3 linked regions of the Pelodiscus sinensis genome follow. The protein of the gene in region 2 binds, or shares a complex with, the protein of the main gene of each other region. Links are inferred from orthologs where the notes say so. Each region holds a gene or a part of one and is shown on either strand. Other genes may lie near its edges. The genes, in order: AP3B1, AP3D1 and ARF1.

Region 1 (3,744 bases), on a different chromosome or scaffold from region 2:
GTGTGTGGAACAGGGCTACCAGCATGTGGGATAGGGATGGGGGTACAGGATCTGGAGTGGAGGTGGGGTGCAAGGAGGGGCAAGGATGAAAGGTCTGAGTGGGAGGTAGGGTGCAGAAGCAGGCTGGGAGTAGGATGTCTGGCCAGGGGGGAGGTGCAGGAGCCAGGTGGAAGTGCAGAAGGGTGCTTGTTGTAGGATGTCTAGCCAGGAGGGAGGATGCTGAGTGTGGCCAGTAGGGAGGGTGCAGGAGCAAGGGAGGATGCAAGAGCAAGCTGGAAGTATGCAATCTTGGCATGAGGGGGGAGCTTACCTGGCTTTGCACCTCTGTTTCTCCCAAGCACCACCTCCCGCTTCTCCCATTGGTCAGCCAATTGGAGCACCAGGGAAAGAGTGCATGCAGGAGGGGAGGGGGAGGTAAGAGGTGAAAAAAGCCCTGACCTTTCCCACCAGACACAGCTCGTGGAAAGAGGCAGAGCAAGCAGCTCCATGCGCTGCTGCTCCCCTGCCCCGCCCCCCACACTACTTGATTTGCTTGTCTCCGTGATCCCGGTCGGGCAAGGAAGTTTAGGGCTTATTTCACCTTTCTACCACCACCACTCCAAGCAGGAAGCGAGAGCTGGTGCTCCAGACTTGTGGCTGCATGGCAACCATGTGACTGGAGTGACAGCATAGGCTTCCCACTGAGTAGGTGAAGAGTAAGGATGTTAAAGACTAATTGACTCCCTCCCTCCCGTCAGATAGAGGCAGCAAAGGGGGGACGGAGGGGGTACTTCAAAGGGCAGCACCACACAGCTGATGCCAGGATCAGCTGTGCAGCGCTGCCCCTTTGAAATACTAAGGCAGTGTTTCAAAGCAGCAGCGCTGCCTGGAGCCCAGGGTCAGCTGGGGACTCCCCCGCTGATCCCAGGCTCTGTGCAGCGTTTCTGCGAAACCCATGATTAGCTGGGGAGTCCACAGGTCTCGGGAAATGCCATGCAGAACATGCAGTCAGCTGCGGAGTTCCCCGCTGACCCTGGGACTCCGTGAGTGCACTTCTGCTTTGAGATGCACAAGAGCCCCCACTGAGACTCTTGTACATTTCAAACTAGCATGCCCATGTGCAGCCCAGAGTCAGAGAAACTTCCCGCTGCATGCTGTGTTCTGCATTCCTCCTTTGAAATGTACAAGAGCCCCCTGGTGGAATGTGGTATTGGCTATTGACTAGTTGAGTACTCAATAGAAATTCCCTTGACTACTCAAATAGTAAATTAACTGCAATTTAACATCCTTAGTGAGGAGGGGAACGGAATTCAAGCCACAGACTGCCTATAAAGTGGCTGCAGCCCACTTGTTGTCCATGGACTGCACTTTGAAAACCACTGTTCTAGGGGGCTACAGGATGATCTACCTTCATACAGCAAGTCACCTCTGCTATTCACTGCTATGCTGGTGCCGCCAAATTTATTGACAAATAAAATTTGCAGAACCCCAAAACATCATGCACAGAATTTCCTCAGGAATATAAGAGAAATTGGTCCAATAAAACATTACCTCATCCACCTTGTCTTTCAGCAATTTAATACTAAATGTTTCTCTTAACTTCCAGATTTGTTTAAGAGGATGCTAACTTTCTAGGATAATATGCCTTTAGTTTCCATGATAAATTCAACAATTTTCTAGTGTCTCAGTTTTGTCTTGAGACCACAATATACAACTAAACATCTTCCGCATTATGTTTAACACCAACCCATGTAGATGTTTGTTACAACATCATAACTACAACCATGCAGTAAGAATACCTGCGCCTTTTGGAAGGCTTATTTACCTGTATAAAGAAACTGATCTTTCACGGGTTTTAAGCACAAAACTGCTGACGAACTACAAACTAAAATAATTTGAAAGGGTATTTCTGTTATCCATTAACAAAGGCACCACCTGTTTAAACAGATACAGTAGCTAAATGTTTTATATGGCAACCAGAAAAAAGGTAGTCACCGATTTACTACCATAGTCTATTTGGATGGTAGCTCGCATGTCATAATTTGCATGGAAACGTCGGTACCGGCCGGTTCTAAAATGACACTTGGCGTTCCGTGTTTTGCTGTTCTGGGTACGTTCATGGTCGTGCCTCCAGCTGCCCAAGGAACTTGCATTTTAGAAGTTGTGTGAGCTGGGTCGATCAACCAGCGAGTCTCATTCAGCGTATGCAGCTGGCCACAGGAACGCGGTAACCAGCAGCGTACGCCAGGCCGGCCGGCCGGCCGACCGACCGACCGACCGCCTGCCTGCCTCGCAGCCGGACTCCCGCACGCCCTCCACTCAGCCCCGATCCTCAGCCCCCGTTGTCCCCGCCCTCTGCCAACGCCACGCCCCCTTTCCCTTACTTCTTGGTGTCGCTGCTGAAGAGTCCGAAGGCCGCGGGGACGGAGGCCGGGGCTGCGGGAGAGGCCGCCGCTTCCTGCCCCAGCTCCGCCGCCGCCTCTCCGCCCTGCTCGTTGTAGCCGAGGCTGTTCGTGGACATGCTGCTGCTGCTGCGGCTCCTCTGGCGCCTGCTGCCCAACGGAACTTAGTGACGCGCGCACCGGAGTCCTCCCGGAAGCTAACGGCAGCGGTTGGGGCTGGAGGGTGCAGGCGTCACATGATGGGGCGGGGCTGCAGGAGCGGAACTTTCCCGGCCTCAGAGTTCTAACGTTCCTATGACAACCCCATTGCCACTGGCCAGGAAGGGACGTGAGAAGGCACGTGAAGCTCCGCCCAGGCTGTTGGCGTGGCGTGTAGGACGGGGCGGAAAGGAACAGTCTGGACTCGTACTGCCGCCCAGGGGGGGCGGGGCTTTACCTAGGGTTCTGCTTGCGCCCTTGAAAGCCGCGCAGACGCCCGGTCCGCGCGCCAGCAGGAGGGTGTGTGCGAAGGGCGGCGGTGATTGATTCCCAGAGCCGCGGTCCGTAAGGAGGCGGGCGGTGGGGCTCAGACGTACCCGTGCGGAGCACACGGAGATTGCGTCCGCCTCGCTGAGCCGCGGCCTAGCCCCACGCAGCACAGGTCGGATAGCGGCAGCCCCTGCTCCCCCCTTCGTTCGGCCTCTCTGGGAAGCATCGCACTGCAGCTGGGTGCCACTGGTAACCTGGAGTCCACCTTCCTATGACTGGTTACTTTCGGCATTTCACTTAGGCCCTGGACCGCCCGTGCTCCCCGTGGGAACAAGGATTTTGTAGTCAAAGCCCGCGGTCCTTGCAATTTTAGCTCCTGCAGTGCACCCTGGAAGCCTCTTGTAAATGGACCAGTCTACCGAAGCCCCAGTCTTGCAATGTAGCTGTGCATTCCTGTATTGCAAGCTTCTAGTGTGTGGTCACTGTGGTGCCTCTCCTTCTGTAACACCTGTACGGGAGAGTGGGGCATGTTTGGCACATAGATAGTGGCTTCTGTATGATTGCATTGCAAGCTATGCAGCCACTACTCAGTCTCCTACCCCGTGTAAGGGACTTTTGATCCCTTACTATAGTGGCTCTCAAAGTGCAGTCCACAGGCCACTAGTAGTCCACGGCTGCCTTACAGGTGATCCGTGGCTCGAACTCAGCACCCTCTTCCTCCCCCACCCCCCATGCATCTGGGAGCTCACGCAGGCTTCTGCACAGTAGGCAGGCGGTACAGAGGCGGGAGATTTCTCCTCTCTTAGGAGGGGGTGGGGAAGGAAGGGGCTCAAACAGGGAGAGGCTGCAAGTAGAGCCCAGTGGGGGTGTTTCCAGCCTGATGGGCAAGGGGAGG
Region 2 (3,744 bases):
TGTCCCCTGCCCCCAGCACCACAAAAACAGTGCGGGGGAGGTGAGGGGGAGAGAGAACTGGATTTTGAGCTGGCTCCGCCGGCACCAGCTCCTGTGTCACCCCCCCCCCCCCGTCCTTGCTGTCTCTGATAAAGTGGCAGCAAGGGGGGGGAAACATGAGTAGTCGACTCCTAGGCTTATTAAGTAGTCAACTATTTGACTACTCTTTCATATCCCTAGCATGAACTACAAGAAGTTAATATACATATCATCACCTTCACAACAAACATGCACATAAACATTTGTAAATAGTTTTTCATATTTAACAAAAACTGTCTCTTTCATAAAATCCTACACGCTGCTCAGAACTTATTTTTTGGGGTGGGGGGCACTTAGTCCTTGAAAACAGCTACATCTTCCTAGGCCACCAAACCAATACCAAATCACCTTTAAACTACATTATGTAGTTTAAGACTGAGTAGTTTTTCCTGGTATGTGGTTCTATGGAATACTGCCTAATACTGTGGAGCATCAGTGTGTAATATCCAAATCTAAAGCTATTTGGAAAGTTGAATGTCTGTTGGAAAGCAACACTGCATTTTGGCCTGAGAGCAGCCGTGATAAAAAACATGCAACACAAATGAGTTTTACAACCGAATTATTTGTTCTAGCAACCAATGTCTACATTTGTTTCTTAATCCCTTCCACAGTTGATAACTGTGATGCTATGTTCTATCTTACCAACCTGTGGCAGCATTATCGCACTAAACTCTCATTGAGTTACTAATATTCTGTCAAAAAGATAATTAAGAAAGTTGTTCATATAAAAGTTTCCAATACCAAGTTTACTTGTGCCAAGACTCCAAGGACTTCCTGATCAGTTACCACGTGACAACAACTGATAAAAGAATTCTAACTTCTGAAGTAAACCAGTTCTGGACTAATAATTACACACTTTCCATCTAACTCAAATAATATAGTAGAATATATCAGGTGGTGACATTCAAGTGCTTTCAGTTTCTACCTTAAATAAGCCTATATATTAACGTTTCTGAAAATGTGGTTAGACATAAGCTAAACTGAATGACTAACGAAAAAGCTTAATTATGCTTGAACTTGATTTTCTTATGCTTCAATCTTACCCTAGAAAATAGTCACTTACTTCATTAAGACATCAGACAGGAATTCCTTTAACTTACAAATCACAGGCTGTAAATAACCAAGGCTAGCTCCCCCAACACTAACATGATATCAACAACAAAAATTTCCCATATGCCAGATCTTTCTCCTCCCTTTTAATTTTCTTACCCCACTGCCTGCTTCCTTGAATGCTCTCCCTTTTGGCTTAGCCTGGACAAGAATCTTCTTCCTCATTTTTCATTACTGCTTGCACTTTCCCACTGACAACATCCCCTTTTCAGCAACAGAGGCACCTTTTATTTTGATGTGGGGTCGAGATGAGAAAAAGCCTCAGGCTTATACACAGCCCACAGAGGGGCAGAAGACCCGAATCACCCCCACCACAAGAGACAAAACAAGATAGTTTCTCCACTAGATTCTTGTTCCCTTGTGGGCAGCCCTGGTCTCAAGTGGAGATAGACATCATACTCCCCCCAAAGCCTACAGGGGGACGCAGCCCCCACAAAGAGATAGGAGAAGGGAGCTGCCACCCACCCCCAAAATCCTATGGGGGTCCCACAGTGAAAGGAGAGGAGCGGCCACCTACCCCGCAGAACCTAGAAGGCAAAGGTCTGGGGTTAGATCTAAGGAAGCCCTTGGCTCTCTATGGGGCAGGGCACTGTACTTCAGACTGCTCCCAAGGTACCTCCCTCCCCCGCAGCTCCTATTGTGAGAATTTTGCCCCCTACCCACTCCCCTTCTCGCAACTCCCACCTGGTCCTACATTGCCCTCCTCAGCCCCCCTCCCCCATCAACCCCCAAGTCCCCCACCAACCCACCTCTCCTATCAGCCCCCCCATTAATCCCCAGAACCTCCCCCCTCAGACCCTCTTCTCCCATCAACCCCCAGACCGCCCCCCCATCAGGCCCCCAGGCTCCTTCCCCCATCAGGCCCCTTCTCCCATCAATCCCCCACCCCCCTCAGCCCCTCTTCTTCCATCAACCCCCAGCCCCCTCCATTAGGCCCCCAGGACCCTTCCCCCATCCATTCCCCTCCCCCCTCAGCCCCTCTTCTCCCACCAACCCCCAGCCCCCTCATCAGGCCCCCAGGCTCCTTCCCCCCCCAGCCCCCCGGCCCGGCGCCCCGGCCCACCTCGTCCTCCTTGTGGTTGCGGATGCCGCGCACCAGGTCCTGCAGGTTCTTGTCGAACATGCGGTCGATGCTGCCCTTCACCATCTTCAGCGCCATCGCGGCGGGGCCGGCGGGGCCTGCGCTGGGCGGCGGGGCCGGGGGGGGGGGCGGGCGGCGGGGCCGCTGCCGAGCGTGTCCGGGCGGGGCGGGGCCGGGCCGCTCACATCCCGCGCGGGGCCAGGCGGCGCGCGCCCCGGGGGCTCAGGCGGCGGCGGCGGCGGGAATCTCCGGTCTCCGCTCAGCCCAGCGCCTGACAAAATGGCGGCCGGTCAGCTGAGGGCTCGGCCCCTCCCCCTCCCGGCCGCCGCACGCCGGGCCACGCCCCCGCCCGGCGCCAGCCCCGCCCGTGTCTCCGCCCACCTCGCCCCTGGCCCCGCCCACTCCCGCCGAGGCCGCGTCACCGCTCCCTCTGGCTCCGCCCCTGTGGCCCAGAGCCCCGCCCATTTCTCCTCCTCTGAGCCCGCCCCTCCCGCCCCCGGCCGTGATTCCCGGCGGCGCCTTCCACGTCACCCGCCCGGGGCTGCCAGCAGCCTGTGGGGGAGGGGTTGGGGAGTGGCTCTCCCCTCCCCCTGCACCCCGCAAGGGCCCCACCCCCAACAAGCTGAGCGGCCCCGCTATGCGCTCGACAGGGCCGGCCTCGAGCACGTGCTCTGCTGACTCGGGGCCCTTAATGCCCAGTGAGGCGGGGATGCTGCAGCCCCCACCCCCCCTCCCCCGCACTGCTGCAGGGAAACTGAGCCCGTGGACGCTTTGCTGTGACTGCCCGGTACCACCCTACGCTCAGCACGGGGCGGCCCGCCGGGAGAGAGTCACACGCCTCCGGCAGCCCCTGTTTCTACTGATGGTGCACATCCACACAGGTCCCAGTGCAGAGAACAAAATTTATTCCATGCATGGGTGGAAAAAATGAGAGGGAACATTGCCACTGTTCATCTGGCAAAACGCTCTTCTGTAAAACGCTTCTTATGCAGAAACCCTGCGTGTAGACAAAGCCCAAGCGTGTAAAAGACACAGATGTACACAACTCTAGCGGGCGCGGAAGTAGCAGCAGCTTTGCTGAGCAGCTTGGATGCCACAGTAGAACAACGTTTGTAGTGGAGCGGTTCTTTTATTATTATTTTGTTCTTATCCCGCCAGAGATCGGGGCCTCATTGTGCTACACCCTGTACAAATACACAACACTAAGTCATGAATGGTTTGTCAGAGTTAAGCTTTGGGCAGGTCAGTGTTTGGAGAGGGTAAATTGACTCACTTGCATGGAGCTTGATTTTCAGAAAATCAGGCTTCTTTAACAGGGCCACCCTTACTGATGCATAGAATACACAGATGCGTAGGACACCCAAAAATTTGGGGCACCACTGGGTCCTAATGTCCACCCATCTGCCTATTCCTATCTCTGTTCTGTTCCTCCAGAGAGGATCTAGTTAAGTTAAAAGTGAAAAAGCCAGACCTAA
Region 3 (3,744 bases), on a different chromosome or scaffold from region 2:
TGGAGGGAGTAGGGGCGGGGTCTCAAAAGAAGTACAAAGGAGGCTGGGCAAGGGTATTTGGGTTTGAGGTAGATCTTGGATTGCACTTAAATTCAAAAATTGATCTCATGCTTTAAAAGGTTGGAGACCACTGTCTTACAGTAATGCAGCTAGCTGCACGCACCTCTAAGCTCTCTAATGTCACTACTCTAAGCAAAGAGAAAGAGCTATCCAATCCATAGGAATCATCTACCCCTAACAAGCAGTATTGACTGTCAGCAGCTCTCCTAATAGTACTTTCAACACCGGTGCTACAGTTTTATCACTCAGTGGGGTGGCCTATTCAAGCCACCAAATGACATAACTTATGTCAAGTTAAACTGTAGTGTAGCCAGAGTTAGTGTTGACCAGATTTGCCCACTGTAAAGAATCCAGAGTAATGAAACTTTCCACTAAGCAGGTGCAACAGAAAAAGGTCATTTTGGAAAGATGAGTGAAAGAAGAAACCTGTGAATGTAATGAGTTCTTCATGGTAATTATGCCCTTATTTATACCTATGAAACCTTAATACCAAAAAACAGTTTTACACAGGGGTGCCACAGTGAACAACAGTGCTGAGTCACAAGAAGGTGTAGAATCTAGTCTACTATTAGCAAAGCCCTGACTACATTTTGTCAGTAGAGTCAGCAAGTATGACTCAGATCTACAAAGACCTGAGTTAGAATCCACCATTTTTATAGTACCCTTTCAGATCAGCATGCAAAAAAACCCACCTTTCAGATCCCTTTGTATAAAGTTATTTGCTGATACAAACTGATGCTGAGATTAGAAACAGACATTACACCCAATTCAAGTTTGCTGTATTAAGAACCCAGAGCAAATGAGTGGATACCATGATCCACTCAAGCCATCTACTTATGGACACAACCTACCCTGCACCTGATTCTAAAGGAGTTTTAAAGAGTGTCAAGTCAGGTAGTTTCCTCACCTTTTCATCAAAAGTTATGACTACTGTAAGGGGTTGGGGAAGTAAACAACACTTAAACTTTGCAACAATCATGGATGTGCAAAGTAGAAGTAACAGCATCAAACCCTAACACTATTTTCAGAAAATAATTTTCCTTCCATACCTATTTAATAGTGTATATAATGGCACCATTTTGAGAAAGAAAAAGAATATTTGGAGAAAAATTCTAACTTCCTTAAAGGAAGAACACAACATGGAATGATCCAAATTTGAGTAAGACACATGATTAGAGTATTAAACTTCTGTGGCAAAAGCAGTCATAGAATGGTCTGCTACATAACCTTAGATAAATCACTCAACTTTAAGCTCTCAGTTTCTCATCTGTACAACAAGGATAAACAATAATGTTCTTCAAAGAGGGGCTCAGAGACTCAGTGGCTGCATAGCAAAGTCAACTGTTCAAATAATATAGCTATAGGTGAAGCGGATGGATACAAAATAAAACTTCTGCATGCACGCAAATCAACCTGCGGAATTTGCTTTGCCAGAACTCAAACTCAAAATACTGTGCCGGGATGATTTTATGCCACGATAGTTTTAATTACACCAAGATGGAGTCAACCCATTCAGGTCTCATGGCGAATGCATGCTGCCAATATAGAGCCCTGTACTACTGGCAAGGTGCACTGTGTGGGGGTTGAAACAAAAGACAGGACAATGTAGCACTTTAAAGACTAACAAGATGGTTTATTAGAGGATGAGCTTTTGTGGGCCAGACCCACTTCTTTCGTGGGACTTCCAAGCGGGTCTGGCCCACGAAAGCTCATCACCTAATAAACCATCTTGTTAGTCTTTAAAGTGCTCCATAGTCCTGTATTTTGTTCCAGCTAGACCAGACTAACACGGCTACATTTCTATCACTATTCTGTGCGGGGGCTGCTCCCTTCCCGGGGTGCCACGCATGGGCCGCAGATAGCAGCGCACAGGCCGAAGGCTGATCTGCTCTGCGCCAGCCGGGGGCAGGCTGCCTGCCTGGCTCGCCCACCCCACGCCGTGCTGAAATCCTGGGGCGGGGGGAAGGCAGCAGCTCGACGCCCCGCTGGGTCAGCCCCTCTCAGAGAGCCCCCCCCCCCCACGCTTTCCCAGCCCGCGGGCGCTCGGAGGGGGAGAGCCGGCGACCCCCCCCGCAGCAGAAGGGCCGGGGCAGGGCCCTTCCGGGCTGCGCTCCGCGGCCAGGCCGGGGCGGAGGGCGGGGCCCCGAGCGGAGTAGGGGGATGGGGGCGGACCCGCGGTCAGGCCCCGGCGGGGGGGGGGGGGGGGGGGAGCTAGGCCTGGCTCCCCACGGCGCCTCCCCCCGCGCGGCAGGGACACGCCAGCCCGCCCCCGCTGCCCCGGGTCTCCCGGCGGGCCGGGCCCCGCCACCCAGCGCCGGGCCTCAGCGCGGCCTGCTGGGCCCGGCGAGGAGGGGGGGGGCTACGAGCCGTTGGCGGGGGGGGGGGGGGCGCGCGGCCGCTTACCCGGCGCTGGGGTCTCCTGCGGGCTCTCGCTCGGGGCCGGCTGCCTCCTGCGCTGCGCTCCCGCTCCCCGCCCAGGCTCACAAGATGGCGGCTCGGGGCGGCCACGTCAGTGTGCCAGGGCGGCGCGGGGCACGACGGGTAAAGCCCGGGGGAGGGCGGGGCGCGTGAGGCGGGTGGGGGAGGGGCAGCGGCGGGCGCAGGCGCAGTGTGGGGAGCCCAGAGGGGATGCGTTGCGGGGCCGTGACGCCCTCCCCTGAGTGACGTGTCTCCCACTCGCCCCAGCCCAGCGCCCGCAGAGCCTGCTCAGGGGGCGGGAGCAGAACAGGGAATCCCCCCCCTGTCGCCCGTTCCCAGACAAGCACAGGCCATCCCGACCCATCCTGGCTGACAGCCCCTGAGGGACCTAACCTCCAACTCGCTCCTTGTGGAACCCTGTGACAGTCCGAACCTTCACCACGTCCTGCAGCGAGGAGTTCCACAGGTGGACGGCGCGCTGATGCGTGAAACCAACAACTTCCTTTGGTTTGTTTTAAACCTCTTCGTTTCCTTTGGGCTACCTCTGCCCTGCAACGCTATTGCGGGATACCGGAGTATCCCCAACTAGCTATCCCGCGCCTTCACAGCAAGCCCGTTCTTTCGGGCTCACTAGTCTGATAGCCCTGTAAACCTCGTTCCACGAGGAATAAGGGGCGTTTCGGAAGTGCCGGGTTATTTCAAAATTTGGTGCTGTGTAGACAGCGCCAAATAACAAAATAAGCTATTTTGAAATAAGGTCATGATAAGATACGCAATCTTATCTTAATAAGCTCAAATTGCTCATCTTACTTCAAACTACGGTGCAGTGTAGACATAGCCTTGGTGACCCTTAGTTCTTATGTTATGGGAACAAGTAAATAACTTTTCCTTATTCAGTTTTTCCACACCAGTCATGATTTTATAGACCTCTGTCATAGCCTCCCTTAGTCTCCTCTTTTTTAAGATGGAAAGTCAAAGTCTTTTAAATCTCTCTTTATACGGGACCCATGCCCAACCCCTAATTATTTTGGTTGCCCTTCTTGAATCTTTTCCAATGACAAGATATCTTTTTTGAGATGAGGTAGTACCTGGAAAAACTTAAAAAACAACAAATAGTCCCGCAGCATCTTCTAACAAAAAGTGTATATGATATCATGAGTATTCGTGGGCACAACCCACTTTGTCAGATGAATGGTGTGTAAGGGGTCCAGTTTTCAAATACCCGGAAGCCCTAATCATTGGCCAGTATATCATTATTCTTACTCT

What was found.
Region 1: the proteins of AP3D1 (region 2) and AP3B1 are in contact, whole or in part, in a cryo-EM structure (PDB 9C5C), measured with the Homo sapiens proteins. The link is inferred for Pelodiscus sinensis from reciprocal best matches to the Homo sapiens genes AP3D1 and AP3B1. Residues at the interface, in NP_003929.4 of Homo sapiens: Lys352, Leu442, Ile446, Ser471, Tyr483, Trp487, Glu491, His517, Ala520, Val521, Gln524, Asn525, Lys528, Val561, Gln562, Ser563, Ala564, Leu566, Glu567, Gln569, Glu570, Arg571, Ser573, Cys574, Gln577, Leu578, His581, Ile582, Leu585, Lys588; in NP_003655.3 of Homo sapiens: Asn75, Lys466, Lys467, Gln470, Val494, Ala497, Ser498, Trp501, Leu531, Leu534, Gln535, Asn538, Lys542, Asn567, Tyr568, Asp569, Asp572, Arg573, Arg575, Phe576, Ile577, Gln579, Leu580, Lys586, Gly588, Ala589, Leu590, Ser591, Tyr593, Lys596.
Region 3: the proteins of AP3D1 (region 2) and ARF1 are in contact, whole or in part, in a cryo-EM structure (PDB 9C5B), measured with the Homo sapiens proteins. The link is inferred for Pelodiscus sinensis from reciprocal best matches to the Homo sapiens genes AP3D1 and ARF1. Residues at the interface, in NP_003929.4 of Homo sapiens: Lys48, Asp50, Phe77, Ile80, Glu81, Ser84, Asp107, Met110, Leu111, Thr112, Thr113, Asn114, Gln115, Arg117, Lys118; in NP_001019397.1 of Homo sapiens: Tyr35, Ile46, Pro47, Thr48, Ile49, Gly50, Phe51, Asn52, Val53, Glu54, Trp66, Lys73, Ile74, Leu77, His80, Tyr81, Gln83, Asn84.

Annotation. Positions count from the first base shown.
Region 1 is NC_134716.1:86,592,753-86,596,496, forward strand, and holds the start of AP3B1 (AP-3 complex subunit beta-1), read right to left. Parts: upstream 2,952-3,744; 5' UTR 2,501-2,951; coding exon 2,364-2,500; intron 1-2,363. UniProt on the Homo sapiens protein: Subunit of non-clathrin- and clathrin-associated adaptor protein complex 3 (AP-3) that plays a role in protein sorting in the late-Golgi/trans-Golgi network (TGN) and/or endosomes.
Region 2 is NC_134729.1:27,439,415-27,443,158, reverse strand, and holds the start of AP3D1 (AP-3 complex subunit delta-1), read right to left. Parts: upstream 2,567-3,744; 5' UTR 2,348-2,566; coding exon 2,252-2,347; intron 1-2,251. UniProt on the Homo sapiens protein: Part of the AP-3 complex, an adaptor-related complex which is not clathrin-associated. The complex is associated with the Golgi region as well as more peripheral structures.
Region 3 is NC_134712.1:252,867,015-252,870,758, forward strand, and holds the start of ARF1 (ADP-ribosylation factor 1), read right to left. Parts: upstream 2,609-3,744; 5' UTR 2,464-2,608; intron 1-2,463. UniProt on the Homo sapiens protein: Small GTPase involved in protein trafficking between different compartments. Modulates vesicle budding and uncoating within the Golgi complex. In its GTP-bound form, triggers the recruitment of coatomer proteins to the Golgi membrane.